Elephas maximus indicus: one gene and its partner. The protein of the gene in region 1 interacts with the protein of each later gene in a pairwise test. Links are inferred from orthologs where the notes say so. Each region holds a gene or a part of one and is shown in the gene's direction. Other genes may lie near its edges. The genes, in order: RABL6 and SPINK7.

What was found.
Region 2: the proteins of RABL6 (region 1) and SPINK7 interact in binary tests that used the Homo sapiens proteins (3 or more experiments, as listed by UniProt). The link is inferred for Elephas maximus indicus from reciprocal best matches to the Homo sapiens genes RABL6 and SPINK7.

Annotation. Positions count from the first base shown.
Region 1 is NC_064827.1:1,610,818-1,618,072, reverse strand, and holds the start of RABL6 (rab-like protein 6), read left to right. Parts: upstream 1-4,071; 5' UTR 4,072-4,278; coding exon 4,279-4,408; intron 4,409-7,255. Other genes in the region: CCDC183 (coiled-coil domain-containing protein 183), read left to right, coding at 230-355, 468-522, 1,516-1,616, 2,294-2,454, 2,761-2,929, 3,013-3,123, 3,204-3,300, 3,540-3,658. UniProt on the Homo sapiens protein: May enhance cellular proliferation. May reduce growth inhibitory activity of CDKN2A.
Region 2 is NC_064820.1:163,062,694-163,070,961, forward strand, and holds the start of SPINK7 (serine protease inhibitor Kazal-type 7), read left to right. Parts: upstream 1-5,152; coding exon 5,153-5,213; intron 5,214-6,059; coding exon 6,060-6,085; intron 6,086-6,980; coding exon 6,981-7,105; intron 7,106-8,268. UniProt on the Homo sapiens protein: Probable serine protease inhibitor.

The DNA of each region.
Region 1 (7,255 bases):
TGTCATATTCACAGGTACAGGGTTAGGACTTCAACACATAGTTGGGAAGAGGGGGACACAATTCAATCTGTAGCAGCCAGTGTTTCATGAAGTGTATGAGCGTTTTAGGAAGAAACAGTTGGCTGACAGTGAAGATGAGGTCTGACAGCTGGCTGCTGGACTTTGTGCCCTGGGAGTCCACTGGTCACCTTGGTGGGACAGACCACCCCACACTTCCCTCTGTCCCCAGATGAACATGAGCCAAGCAGAGGCATCCTTCATCGAAGAGCGGAGGGCACGGGAGAACCGGCTCAACCAGCAGAAGAAGCTGATTGACAAGATCCACACCAAAGAGACCAGTGAGAAATACCGGCGGGTGAGGCCCAGCCCCTCACCCCATGCAGCCAGGGAGTGAGCAGACTCAGCTCAGGGCACCCCTGGGTCCACTCCCCTGTGGGGACTGCTGCTCACCCTCCTTTCCCCTGCAGGGCCGGCGGGACCTGGATTTCCCCTCCAACTTGATGAGCACAGAGGGCCTGAAAGGTGAGTACTTGGCTCTGCCCATCCCACGAGCATCTGGAGAGGTCACCCAGCCACATCCCCCAGAAGGCCAGGTGTAAGCCATGGTCACCAGCAAGGGAGACAGATAAGCCCCTGCTTCTCCCTGGCTGCACCCAAAGAGGCCAGAGCCAAATGGCCACACACACACTGGGATGCGACTGCTCCCAGGCTCTGGGCCACATGTGGCTGAGCTTCAGGCATATGTAGATACTGTCCACCAGCTCCCCAGGGCCCGGTCACCCAGTGAGTCCTCAGAAAGGATGAGTTCCTTGGGCCCCGGGCCTGTCTCCAAGCAAGAAGCACCAAGCTGACCTGGGGCATTCCTGAAGGACTGGACCGAGGACAGGTGTCTTAGCCAAGGTTCTCTAGAGAGACAGAATCAGTGAGATGGATGAATAGGCAGACAGACAGATAGATACATAGACAAAGACTGATTGATTTTAAGGAACTGGCTCACACGATTATGATTGTGGGAATTCTGGCAAGTCCAAAATCCGTAAGACCAGGCAACAGGCTGGAGACTTCTGCAGGCTTGTGTCACAAACCCATGGGTCAAGTGACAGAAAGAGTGAACAGAGAAATTCTACCAAAGTATCTATTTACAGTCTGGAGGCAGAACACACCCTGAGGAAACTCCCTTTTTGCTCTAAAGGCTTCAGCTGACTGGATGAGGCCCACCCACATTGTAGAGGGTCATCTGCTTTACTTGAGCCCAGATGATTAAATCACACATAACTGCTACAGAACAGCCACTAGACTAGCGTTTGCCCAAACAACTGTGCACCAGAGTCCAACCACGCGGACACATAAAACTCACCATCACAAGGAGGGCAGGTCACCTGGCTCCTAGGTTCCAGGACCTTGGGGTGTCCTCCCTGGAAACCCAAGCACGTATGGAAGCTTCTGGGGGCCTGGCGCCTGTGCCCTTGCAACATCCCTGCACACCAGCTGCCCATTGCACTCTGCTCTGCCCAGTGAAGCGAAAGGAGACCTCCAAAGCTGACATTGAATACCAAGCGGATGTGACCACGATGGTGGAGCGTGTGAAGAGTGCCGTGCGCTGCTCCCACCTCTGGGTAAGGCCCTGGCTCTCCCTGGGTGGGGTGAAGGGCCAGTGAGGTCTGGCCCAGCCCCAGGCCCCGGCCGATTGGGTCTGCAGGTCCTCTGAAATGGGCACAGAAAGCTGCACCCTCTGGGCCTCTCTGGCATGCAGGAAACGGCCAGTGGGGCAGCTCAGCATAGAGGCTACCCCGGGACATGTTTGGGGCACCTGAGCACCATTCCAGGGCCATGCAGAGCTTGCTCAGTGGAGGCTCCAAGCACCGAGGGCCCAGCCTTTCTCTCCCACTCTGGCCTTGTCCCAAACTGCTGGAATCACAGGAGCAGCTGCCTCTCCATCCCTCCCCGCCCCTCTTATTTTTGTCGAGTCTGGGTTATCACCCTTACACCCTGAGTTTCCATTGCCGGCCCTGACGTGAGCTTGTCCATGCTCGGACAAGCGACCCAAAGCACCTGGATGTCTCAACGTAGTCTCCTCATCTGCGAGAGGCCATCTGCCCTCTCTGAGGTGTTAGGAGCCTCTCGTGCAGTGGCACATGGGAGGCACCCTGCCAGGGGCTGACCCCAGCAAGCCCTGGGTGCGCGGCAATGGGTGACACCGTGACCCAGCCTGGAGCACAGAGGCAGCCCTGGCACTGGAGAGGGCCATGCCTCCTCAGCTCATTCCTGCTTCTCTCCCCGCTGGACTGGCCAGGACATCGCTGGCCGGTTCCTGGCACAGAGGAACACGGAGGAGAACCTGGAGCTGCAGATGGAGGACTGTGAGGAGAGGCGGAAGCAGCTGGAAGCCTTGATGAAGAAGCTGGAGCTGGAGCAGGCGATGCTCAAGTTCCGCCAGATGCCGGGCTCTGTCAGGTACCCCAGGGAGGTGTCCCGAGGGTGAGGGCTGACTGCTAGCACCCGTGGACAGCCCCTGTGGCCAGGGACCAGATGCCGGGCTCCGTCACGTACCCCAGGGAGGTGTCCCGGGGGTGAGGCTCGCCTGCTAGCACCCGCGGACAGCCCCTGTGGCCAGGGACCAGGCTTGCTCCTTGCGAGCCTGTGAGCACCCTGTGAGGGAAGCCCAGCCAGGGACCTGCACTGGCCTACACTGGGGCTCCTGAGCCCCTAAATGTAGCACGGCATTCACCCTCAGCTCCTGCACCCCCACCGTCCTCACAGCTTTGCGTCCCTTGAGAATAAGATGAAGGACATGCTCAAAGAGGAGGAAGATCGGCTCCAGCTGGCCCTCAGCAACGTTAGCAAGAGCCAGAAGCTCCTGCTGACCATCCAGACGGGCGTCGACAACCTCTACATTCGGCTCATCGGCATCGCCACGCCACCTGGCCAGGTGCCTGCCTGGGGAGGAGCCACCCCCACCGAGAGGGTCGTGGAGTGGGCCCGGCGGGCATCAGACCCTCCTCTTGCCCACAGAAAGAAGCTGTGGTCTCCAACCCCCTAGATGTGTACAGCAAGCTGGCGTATTGTGAGAGGAAGCTCATGTACCTGGTGGACAGAGTGCAGATGCTGACCAAGACTGAGGAGGTAGCCTGTCTGGGAGGTGAGCCTCGAGCCCACCGCCCGCTGTGGACCTACAAAGCTGAGGGAGTTCTGCATGCCTGCAGGTTGGCACGAAGGTGAGGGACATCCTGGAGTCCTCCACGCTGAAGGAGAAGCAGAACACCAAGATCAGCTTTGAGGACCTGGAGGAGGATGTGATAGGTATGGGCCGGCCAGAGCGAGGCCAGGGTGGGGGGCTCGCGGCCGGGGGCGGGTTTGGCTGCCTGCAGTCTGGACGGAGCGTGGACCAGGCTGGAGCGGGACGAGACCCCGGGTCACAGCGGCACAGGCTTTGGTGGTGGCCTCGCCCTGTCCCGCGGGGCAGCGGTGGTGGGAGGGGGCGCCAGGGCCCGGGAGGGGCTTCGGGGTGCCGGCTTCCCGCGCTGCCCCTTCCCTCCTAGAAACCTTCCAGTTCGCCGACGTGGACCACAGCTACGTCCCTTCGCGGGCCGAGATCAAGAGGCAGGGCCAGCGGCTGATAGAAGGGAAGCTCAAGATGGCCAAGAAAAAGAAGAAGTAGCCCCTTCCCCTCTCCCGCGCCCTCCACCCCTTCGCCTGCGTTTTATTATCCAAATAAACGTTTTTCCAGGACGGACGGGGGTCGATGGGTGAGACGAGACTCTCAGAGAAAATAAGAATTGGGGAGACACAGGTCTTGGGGTCACGCTGGGAAGTTCTACGGGGAGCTGTGTGTCTGGGCCAGGGCTGGGGGCGAGGGCGAAGTGGGTGGTGTCGGGGCTGAGACGCGGACGGGGGTGTCCGGGGCGGCTGGAAACTCGGGGGGCAAACGGCCTGCAGGGGTGCGGCGGCGCCCCCCAGCCCCCCCGCCCCCCCACGGCCCCCTGCACCCGGGGCGCATGCGCGCTTCGTCCCGCGCGTGGCCCTCGCGGCGCCCCGTAGCCACCGCCTCCCTGCGGCCCCCGCGCCAGCGCCAAGATGGCGGCGCCGACGAGCGGGGAGCGGCCTCGCCGGAGGCCGCGGGGCCCGGAGCCGAGCCGCCGCGCCTGAGGCCGCCCTCGGCCGCCGGGAGCCCAGCCCAGCCCAGCCGGCCGCCGGGCCATGGTGCGCGCCGCCCCACGCCGCCGCCGCCGCTGCTGAGCTCGCCGGCAGCGCCCGGGCTCGGGCGTCCGAGCGGGGAGGATGTTCTCCGCCCTGAAGAAGCTGGTGGGGTCGGAGCAGGCTCCGAGCCGGGACAAGAACATCCCCGCCGGGCTGCAGTCCATGAACCAGGCGCTGCAGAGGCGCTTCGCCAAGGGGGTGCAGTACAACAGTGAGTGCGGGGCAGGGCCGGGGCGCCCGCGCCCGCGGCCCCCGAGACGAGCTGTAGAGACCCGAGCCGGGCGTGCGGGGAGAGCGGGGGCTGTGCAGACCCGGAGCCCGTTGAGCCTCCGGTGGCCCTCGTTCAGACCCGGCCGGTCCGTAGACGCTGGTCCGCGGGGCGCCCCACGAGCGCTGGAGAGTTAGTATGAAAAAGAAAAAAAGAAAGATGTCGTTTGAGGGGGCGTAGGGGTCGCGCTGTGCCCCGGGAAGCCAGCAGGACCAGCAGGCGCGGTGCCTTCTAACTCTGCCGAACCTGGAAGGGCTGGCCCTGCCCTGGTCGCCGCCCCGGCGCCAGAAAGTGTAGGAAACGCTGGTTCTCGGTCTGCGGCGAGAGGTAACCGCGCCTCCTCGCCTCGGGAGGTTTTGGCAGACTTTGTTTTTGAGATTCGCTGAGCCCTTACCCTGGTCGCTGTGAGTCGGAATCGACTCGACGGCACCGGGTTCGGTGCCCTGTGCCAGGGCTCTGCAGGCAGGAACCCTCAGGGACGAGAAGGGATGCCCCGCCGGGGTCCTCGAGGACCCGACGAGCCTGGAGGGGCTGCCCCTCGTCTCCTGGCGCTCTCCTCTGCACGGTGACTGCTTCCTGAGCAATGCTCACACGGTAGGAAACCCGTTTGTTTAGTTTTAAACAGTGAAATTCGTGGAAGGAGATCTCAGGAAGTGCTGGAGCTCCCTGCTGGCCTGCGGTTCTCCGATCTTGCCTTGTCTGAGAAGGGATCGTTACGTAACGGCAGAGGGGAGCTGTTTCGGCTCTGACGGAAGGGGTGCTGGGGTTCTGAGCCGGTGAACTGTGTCACCACCTGGAAGAGGTGCCCTAAAACCCAGGCGGCTGAGGTCGTCTGAGCTAAGGGGTTTCTCTTTGTTGACGTGGCATTGAGTCTGAAGACAGATAACAGCTTTGCCACAGTTCTTGCCTTCTTGGAGCAGCATTTGTAAGGGATATATTTAGAAAAGCCCCAGAAGGCATGAGATTCTTGCTTGTTATCGTGGGAGACATCTCTTCCGGCCGGGAAGGAGGAGTTACTCACAGACGCCCAGAGAGCCAGGCTGTTCCCATCCAGATGGTATAAATTATGTAAATCCCAGCTCCCAGACACTGACCGTGCTCTTGACCTCTTTTGAGTTTTCTGTCTCCCTTGCTCTTTCCTAGCAGTATTTAAAGGCTTTATGCTGCCCTCTGCTTTGAAATTGTTTCCCTGGTGCTGCTGAGAGATTTTGGACTCTTTCCCCTGCTTTGTGCACTTGAACGGGGCCCTCAGAAATGGGTCAGGAAGCCTTGTGTGCGTGTCAGACAGCTTGTCTCTGCCGTGCTGTGCTTGGAGTTCTGAACACGTTTCTTACACGTTCAGAGAAGAGACTATTAAGTTAAAATGCTCAATTACACAAATCTTTACAATCTATGCTTGGATTCCTTATTTTATTTAATGTTATCACTTTTAATAATATCTGAGTGGTGCAGACGGCTAAGCACTTAGCTACTAACCCAAAGGTTGTCCACTCAAACCCGCCCAGAGGCAACTCAGAAGACGCCTAGCAATCTGCTTCCAAAAGGCCACAGCCTTGAAAACCCTGTGGAGCAGTTCTACTCTCTGCACACATGGAGTCGCCCTGAGTCAGAGTCAGCTTGACAGCGACTGTCAACAACTTTTAATGTTGTTTAAAACTTAATTACAGTCTCTTGGAAGTTAGACCTGGAGACCGTTCACCTCATCCCAGTTGGGCTGGGACTGAAAGGGCAGCGGAGTTGTCCCAGAGTAGAGGACCACATCTGGAGTGCTTAGAGCAGGTCATGACCTCCCAGAAGCCAGCGAAGGGTGCTGAGATGGAGAGAAACCTAGATTTGGCACCTATGTTACATCTTAGAGGGATGTTGTCCCAAGAGTTGAATAATAAGCAGTTTTGAAACTTTTTGATTTCCTGTATTAGTCTGTAGACAAGAAAGTTCCTAGCATTTGTTTTCCCAAATATCTTACTTAGAGGAACAAACCCGCAATATACCAAGTATAGATTCAGGAATTTTATAGCTAAGAGTTGTATTAACTGTTACTCTGGGGGTGGGGGTGTAACTCGTTTTCCTGTAGATTGGCTGTGTTAACAGGAGCAACTCCTGTCACAAACGCAGAGTCCAAGCACACCTGTTACATTTAGAATAAAAAATGTGGCGAGTGGGCCTGTCCCTCCCTGCTGTGCCCGGACGTGGCTTCCCAGGTGGGGACGTTTTAGCCAGAACAGCCTGTTGCAGGAGGGAATGCCTCGCTCACGGACTGCTCAGTAGACTCGCTCAGGACCAGGGTGCTCGCGGACTGCTCAGTAGACTCACTCAGGACCAGGGTGTGGCCACAGAAAGCTCCTCCAGACATGGGACAACAGGGTCCTTTCTGGTTAGAGAGCAGTGTTACGGTTTTAAACCGGGAACTTTTGAACGGCCAATGTCAGTGTGAAACAGCCTTCCCTGTAGGAAACAAGCAGCTGTGTCCAGCCAGTGACTCAACCTGCCCCGGCTGGCCCGCTGGCAAATCCCCAAGCCTTCACTGCCTGGACGTGCCACATCTTTGTGAGTTTTCCTTCTTTTGCGTTTGTTCGCTCTGCACATACTTACTGAGTGCTCATCATTGAAAAACCAAACAAAAGTCTCTGCCCCTGTGGTGCTTACATCCTGGTGATGGGGCGTAGACAGTGAGCAATAAAGATAATAAAGGAGAGGATTTATGGTCTGTTTGAGGTATTATGTGCTACATGGGATAAGGGCTTGGGCGTGCCCAGGGAAGGCAGAGGGATTGCAGTTGTGAGTGGAGGA
Region 2 (8,268 bases), on another chromosome or scaffold:
CAGACTGAGTCCAGCACAACTAGATGGTGCCCAGCTACCACCAACAACTGTTTTGACAGGGATCACAATACAGGGTCCCCATAGAGCTGGAGAAAAACGTAGAGCAAAATTCTAACTCACACACACACAATAAAAAAGACCAGACTTACTGGTCTGACCAAGCTGGAGAAACCCTGAGAGTATGGCCCCCAGACAGATATCCTTTTAACTCAGTACTGAAGTCACTTCTGAGGGTTACTCTTTAGCCAAAGATCAGACAGGTCCATAAAACAAATAATAATACATATAGCACAACCATGTACAAGAGACTAAATGGGCACACTAGCCTAGGGGCAAGGACGAGAAGGCAGGAGATGACAGGAAAGCTAGAAGAATGGAAATGGGGAACCCAAGATCAAGAAAGGGAGGGTGTTGACACATCGTGGGATTGGCAACCAATGTCACAAAACAATATGTGTATTAATTGCCTAATTAGAAACTAATTTGCTCTGTAGGCCTTCATCTAAAGCACAATTTAAAAAAAAAAAAAAAAAAGGAGAAGAAGAAAAGCTAAAAGAAAAACTCAGGAACCAGATTTAGAGAAACAAAAAGTCCTCTCCATGTAAACAGCTGCCATAAAACAAAGCAACCCCACACTCATCCCCTGACCTCACTTGCCACACTTTTGAATCTAGTGACCTTTATCTCCACCCTTCCTTTACCTACTTTATCTTTGGCTACGCCTAACAATTATCATCACTGTACCACCCCACCTCTGAGAAATAAAATCTGCCACTTTGCCTCCCAGCACAGCCTCCCTAAATGATAGTTCATATTTCCCACGTGTTGCCTGAACTTTGACTTCTAAACCCTTAACTGTTCGCACCTTAAGCAGTCCACCAGATCCTTCTGGAGCACTTGAATCTCTTCCCAGCTTTGCCATCTCCTGACTCAGTCTTTCAGCCCCCCTCAAGTCTGTGACGTACAATGTCCACAAAATTACTTTTCCCCATCCCTCACTCGGTGTCACAACCTATTATGATGCAGAATAGTACTGCTTAAAACCAAAACCAAAACCACTACCGTTGAGTCGATTCCTGCTCATAGCAACCCTGTAGGACTGAGTTGAACTGCCCCATAAAGGTTTCAAGGCTGTAATCGTTATGGGAGCAGACTGCCACATCTGTCTCCCGAGGAGTGGCTGATAGCTTCGAACTGCTGACCTTTTGGTTAACAGCCAAGCACTTTAAGCACTGTGCCGCCAGAGCTCCTAGTAGTGATGGGGCCTGTTAAAATCTAATGGTGATTTTGTCTATTGGTCGTTACTCTTTATATTCGTTGTTGACTGTTTTACATACTCCCATCAATGTCTGTGCCAAACCTCCGTCCTTCTCAAACTTCCAGATCAACACAATTTTTCCACTTCAAAAAGGAACTTAACAAATGGAGCCTACCTTGCAATGGGTTCCTCCCTCATCTCTCCTTCCCTGACTTTCCAAAATACCCCATCTCTACACTCATCTACACTTCTCTGTCTACTCTGTCAGAGGGAATGTTGTTTTGCCTGTGCTCTTAATCTTATTTACTATGTTTCTAGACCCATTGCCATTGAGTCTCTTCTGATTTATCACAACCCCATATGCAACAGAATGGAACTGCTCACAAGGTTTTCTCTTTTTTTGCTGTAACCTTTATGGAAGCAGATTGCCAGGGCTTTCTTTCATAGCACCACTGGTATGTTCGAATCTCCAAGCTTTAGGTTAGTAGTCGAATTCAAACCACTTGCATCACCCAGGGACCTCTACTACCTTTCTGTACTCCTCTGATTAGCCACCCTCTACCATATATCTTAAATTTCTTCTTCTACCTCTCAGCTTTTAGATATGCACAGTCTACCCTAGACTTTGCTGTAGCCTCAAGCTTCTCTCATTCCCTTCCTCTTTGGCTACAAACATTAAAAAAAAGTGACCCTATCCTCCCAATTCAACCTGATCATCCTTGATCTCTTTCCCATTCTTTTCCTTTTTTAAAATTACATTTTCAAAGTGCAAGAAAGACACCTCTTTCTGAAACATAATGTCTTTTCCACAGTAAAACTTACGAGTACCTCTTTTTATTAGGATATTCATTTCCCTTCTTTTCCATAACTGAACTCAACAGCCTGTCCTCCATTAGTTGGTGTCATGATCTTTGAAAAGCTCTTTAAATTTTCTAAGCCTCAACTTACTCATTGGTAAAAACAAGGTAATAAAAATTCCGTCTTCAATGAGTTCTCAAGAGGAGCACATTCCAAATTATTATCTACCATATACAAGGGTGGCATATATATACGTACAGACACATATGCATACCATCATTTTTGCAAATAATGCGCCCACGTAAATAACACACCCACACATATAACTCGTGGAAATGATGAAATTAAATAAAATGGTTCTGGCATAGCTCACCTATGCATGTACAATGCATGTCTCATGACATTTCCATAAATGAATTTTGACCTTATTTACCTGTCCTCCCATATTAGAAGTAAATCTTATTAATATGTTCATTTTCTTTCATTCTGTTTATTTTCTTTAATCTCCTGCTTGTATGTATAAAAATAGTCTGAAAATGTTACTTTTGATCATAATTGTGTAATAAAGATACAAGCCATGGTCAAGAAGTAATGGATCAAGTTTGGTAGTCCCCCAGTAACTGGAAAATAAATAATCAGAACTGTGCAATTGTTCCTATTAATTTAAGTTGATAATTGTAGTGCGTTATCTCAACAGTTGAAAAACCCAGAATCTACCGGTAAATAATTTTGGCTTAAATTGCAAGTAAGATAAAGTCAATACCTATCTTAAGTGACATTTCCATGTGATCAAAAATAGAAATTGAAGTCAGCAACATGTTTTTAAAGAAAAAAGAAAATTAGCCCAGAGTTCTTACAAAATAATGTACGGGTAGTTGTGTAGTTCAGCAAAAAAAAAAAAAAGTGTAAAGTGCAAGTTATTTTTGAAAACATATGGATATATATATCTCTATGTATCTATATGGAGCCCTGGGGGCACAGTGATTAATAGCCATGGTTCTAACCAAACAGTGGGCAGTTCAAATCCACCAGCTGCTCCTTGGAAACCCTACGGGGCAGTTCTACTTTGTCCTATAGACTCACTATGAGTCAGAATCGACTTGACAGCAACAGGTTTGGCGTTTGGTTTTCTATATCTATATATAGATATATACATAAACGCTGCTCATAAGAAATTATATACGTATGTATATATGTACATTATATACATAGAAATACATTATATATTATAAATACACACATATATTTACACCTATATGTATATATAAAATCTCTTTTAATACTCAAAAATCATCCTGTGAGGTAAATATTATTTCCATTTTAGAGATGATGTAACTGAGATATCCAGAGGTTAGTCTACATACTCAAAGTCACACCATCAATATTCATTAGCAGCAAGATTTCAAATTAGATCCATTGGATTCCAAGTGCCCATGTCCTTAACCACTAGATTACATTATCTCCCAAAGAGATGTAAGAGTGAAAGTTTTAGGGAATTATACATTTTTATTTATTATTAGCTTAATATCCTATGTGGATGCTGTGTTTCACAATGTACTAAAATAAACCTGCGGTGCATTGGATTGATGGAACAGAACTCACTGTCTTCCCCAGGTTTTCATGCATATGTTCTTTAGCTTAACAGGTAAGCGGCAGAAATTTGGACAACTGTGCTCGCGTTGACACTACGGTTCATAATCTAATGTTGAGCAATCTATTGGCTCAACAATAATGATATCACAATAATATACATTTCATGCACTGTGCTTCAGAATAGGCTTTCACATAAATGACTGCAATTAAGTGACCTCAACTGTAGCTAAAAAAGGAGCCCTGGTGCCACAATAGTTAAGCACTCAGCTGCCAACCGAAAGGTTGGTGGTTCAAACCAACTCAATGGCTCATGAGGACAAAGACCTGGTGATCTGCTCCTGTAGAGATTACAGCCTAGAGAACCCTGTGAGGCAGTCCTACTCTGTCACATAGAGTTGCTGTGAGGCAAAAATCGACTCAACGGCATGCAACAACGACCTTGTGATTAATGCTAGGCCCCACTCTACAGGTGATGACATCACGGCTCTGAGGTGGTCTCTGTGCTGTTTGCCAGTTACACCCAGTTCTCCCTTTTCTGGCCTCAGAGGACAAGGTAAGATCTCATGTAATCACTTCCATTGGGTGAGGTCACATGATGGTTCTGGCCTGTGAGTTATGAGAAAGGACAGTGGTATCACTTCTGGGCTGAAACATTTAATTGCTGAAAAGAAAACCCTGAAGCACGCATTTTCACTTCACCTCGACAACTGACAATATGTCAAACGGTGACTATCTACTTGAGATCCAGAATGAAGACAATGCAGCACCTTCAAATGACCACCATACGTGTGTACCTTGAGTAAGGAATAGACAAGCTTACATTGTTTTAAGTCACAGGAATCTTTAGGTTATATGTTACCACAGCATAACCAAGGTTGCCTGATTGATACAGGCTCGCAGCATATAAATGACTTATCCAAGATTACATAGCTAGAAAATAACATGGCAATGCCCTTCTCCAAGCCTCATAAGTGCTAAGGTCACTGTTCCCTCTGTTAGGCCCCAGGTTGCTGCACAAGTTCATTGCCTCAAAAGTAAAATAATATTTTTTCAGCAGCTAAAATATAAACCTAGGTGTAATCTGTCTAATTTGGGTTTAATATCCTAAATATTGGTGTAATAAAGGAAATTTTAAATCTTTACTTATTTCACAACTAGGCCAAGTAGCCCATACTTAATCTATTCTTCTATGTGAAGTTTAGAATTCTAAGTAGTCACCCTCACCTGGGGGGCAGGAAGAAAAATGCTTCTCACTCACCACAAATAATCAAATTGGTCAGATGGGAAGTAGCAATTAAGTGCAAGGACTGTAACAACACTTCCCAGGGTGTGACATTGTGCATTGATTGAAATTCTTTCAGGGCCAACGCTGACTCTGGATGACCTCACAGGAAAGGTGGAGAATCCAAGTCTTAGCATATAAGCATGGCCTCTCTCCTAGGACCTGGCTGGTGCAGCTCTGGTGATAGCCTGAGCAGCCTCTGCACCACGGTCGTCTCCACCATGAAGATCATTGGGGGTGTCCTTCTGCTCTGTACGGTGGCCCATTTCTGCAACAGTGCAGGTGAGTCAAGAATGTCTGGAAAAGCACATTTTAGCTTATTTTCCCAAATATTTCCTCATGAGATGTGAGCATCTGTGTGGTTATATGGATTAAAATGTACTGTTCTGTAATAGAAAGTTCCCTGGCCTGGGAAGGAAGAATCTTTGGCCTCAGCTGGAATTTGGGCAACTTGGAGTGAATATCTTCCCCTTTAATTTCTGATTTCGATTCATGGAAAAAAGCTTAACTATATAATTTCTCTTTAATTCTACCACTGCTTAATGACTCTGGAAGTGGATGGTGTTATTAGATACTATTCTTAAGTGCAAAGATGCAGAAAAACTTGGATGTCTCCCCAAGTCAGTCTAGGAGAATCAAAATAAAACACAATTTTCCAAAGGCCAGGAGTCAACAATTACGCTTTTAGATGGCAAAGAAATTACTTGGTTAAAATGAGACCTTAAAGGTATTTAATTACATTCCTGTATCTCAGTTAGGACAGGGAAAATATCAAAGATGGTGTTTCAGACTCTTAGGAGTGGTGACTACAATACTGCTTATTGCTACTTGAGTCTGAGACATTATCAAAGACACAAGAAGCTCCAGAAGATGTTCCTTAGTCAATAAAGGAAGAAAATTGGGGCAGTTCACTTGCCTGAGTCAAGGGCTTACGTGACTCTACGGCCCATTGGTCATTTGGTTTCCTCAGCCAACAGCTGGGATTTTGTATAAGGACGGGAAATGTGCTGACCCTCAGTGCCTCAGAAAATGAAGACTCTTAAGTGTATAGAACCAAACTTACATCAGTTAAGGAGATTTCAAAGCTTTGCTTTATTTTTATAATTTCCATGTACATTTCCCTTTCAGAAACTGGCACTCCATCTACAAAAACGGTGAGTACGTTGGATAACATTTTAATTTTAATTCCTATTGCCTGTTGGAAACCCTAGCGGAGTAGTGGTTAAGAGCTACAGCTGCTAACCGTAAAGGTCGGCAGTTTGAATCCGCCAGGCCCTCCTTGGAAACCCTATGGGGCAGTTCTACTCTGTCCTACAGGGTCGCTATGAGTTGGAATCAACCTGAAGGCGAAGGGTTTTTTTGTTGTTTTTTTTTTTTTAAATTGACTTCCATTTATCCAACAAATACTTATAAATGGTATATGTAAGATTAACTCAGTGTGTTGTAAGGGATAATAAGGAAGCCTGACACATGAAAAAATGGCCTCTGCTCTCCAGAAGGCTGTTTAAAAAGCATGGCATACATATAAATATCCATATCCTAAGTAATTATTCAAGTGTTAAAGGAAAGAGAGATGACTTCAAGCTGAGAGGTTGGTGAAGTCCTCACGAAAGAGACAACATCTGAGAGCAGAGCAGAGTTACCCTGGTTAATTGCACAGGCTCTGGATTCAAATCTCAACTCTACTACTTACCAGCATTTGCCTAATACAAGTTATCTGTCTTTCTAAGCCTAAAATTCCCCATTTTTAGATAGGAATAGTAGTAGAGCCTAATCTATTCAGTGGTTGTGAAGATTAAAAACCAACATATCCATGGCAGAGAAAACTCTGACAGAAAGATGCTCGTCGATTGCTAAGTGACTATAGTAGCAGTTCTAGCATCTGTCATAGTGGTAACAGCAGTGCTAATAGAGGTAGTAGCAGTAGCATCAGAAATACCTGAGCTGGGACTTTTAGTATGGCATTCTTGCTGCCTGTGCAGTAGAGGCCAGGATAGCCTAACTTGGGGGCTGGGAGAACAGTAGGACCTTTTCTTGTTTCTGTCACAGGTGGACTGCAGCATTTATAAGAAGTACCCAGTGGTGGCCATCCCCTGCCCCATCACATACTTGCCTGTTTGTGGCTCTGATTACATCACCTATGGGAATGAATGCCACCTGTGTACCGAGAGCTTGTGAGTACCTCACATGAAGGCAAAGGAAACTGGCTCCAGTGTTCTCCCCTGAGAACCTTCCCCTTTCCTGGAGTCTTCTTAACTTTCCATTAACTGTACTCATTCCCACCCAGAAGCAGCTGGTGGGGATAGACAACTGAATGCCTCACAGTCAGATCAGAGTTGGATCCAAATTGCTCTGCCAGCATGGATGGGTCCCATCCCATCATAGAACCTCCAATTGCCATCTATCAATTGAAGGAAACCAACTAATCCAGGGCTTATTGTTCAAACTGCTGTCCCTGGAGCCCAGATGTTCTGTAATGGCATATCAGGAGTCACCAAATGGGCCCAGGGAGACCACATGGGATGATCTCCAGCCCCAGCTTCAGCTTTGGATTATTTTAAATAGTGGAGCACCACACAATATTTTCTTTGAAGAAGGGTCCTAAGCCCTGCCTCCCCCACAAAAAAAAAATCAAAGCCACTCTCCTACATGACTTCTAGCATACTTCAATATAGCTTGATTCTTAGGCGAACGGTGGCTGCCAGTCATTTATTCTCAGTTTCTTGGAGATTCTAAGCATCTATACCTCTAAGAGGGATGAGACTAGCACAAAGATATATATTTTTTCTTGCTTTTAAAATAGAGGGTGCAAACTATCAGTACTTGGACCAGAACCCCATGGACATGTTTGTTTTTTAGGTATTTGTTTGGCCTCCTCAGTGTTTTTGAAGGCAATGTAACTAGGCAGATACCACTGCTAGTTTAAGGGCCTGCAACATTGTACTTATTGTCTTATACCAAGTCAACTTCACTCATCGTTAACTCTCTGATCATTTCAGGTCATTAAATTTTGGCCACTTGTTTTTGTTTTCTATCTTTGTGATTATCTGAACAATTTAAAATATCAGGTTAGGCTCTGATCCCAGAAGGAAATGGCTACACATTTGTTCCTTGTTCAAGGAGTTTTATTTCACAGTCACAGGCTGGTCCCCTGGCCTAGAAACTAACTTGTATTCAAAGGACACTAAACGTGAGATGTGGTAGACGTCCTCCTTAGTAACCCAGAATCCCCTGCATCCCAGGCCCTGCTAACCAGGAGCTAAGGGGCTGGCCACCTCAACTTTCCTTGTCAGAGGCCTTCATGCTTTGTGCCTTTAAGAAATTGAGTGTTCATCCT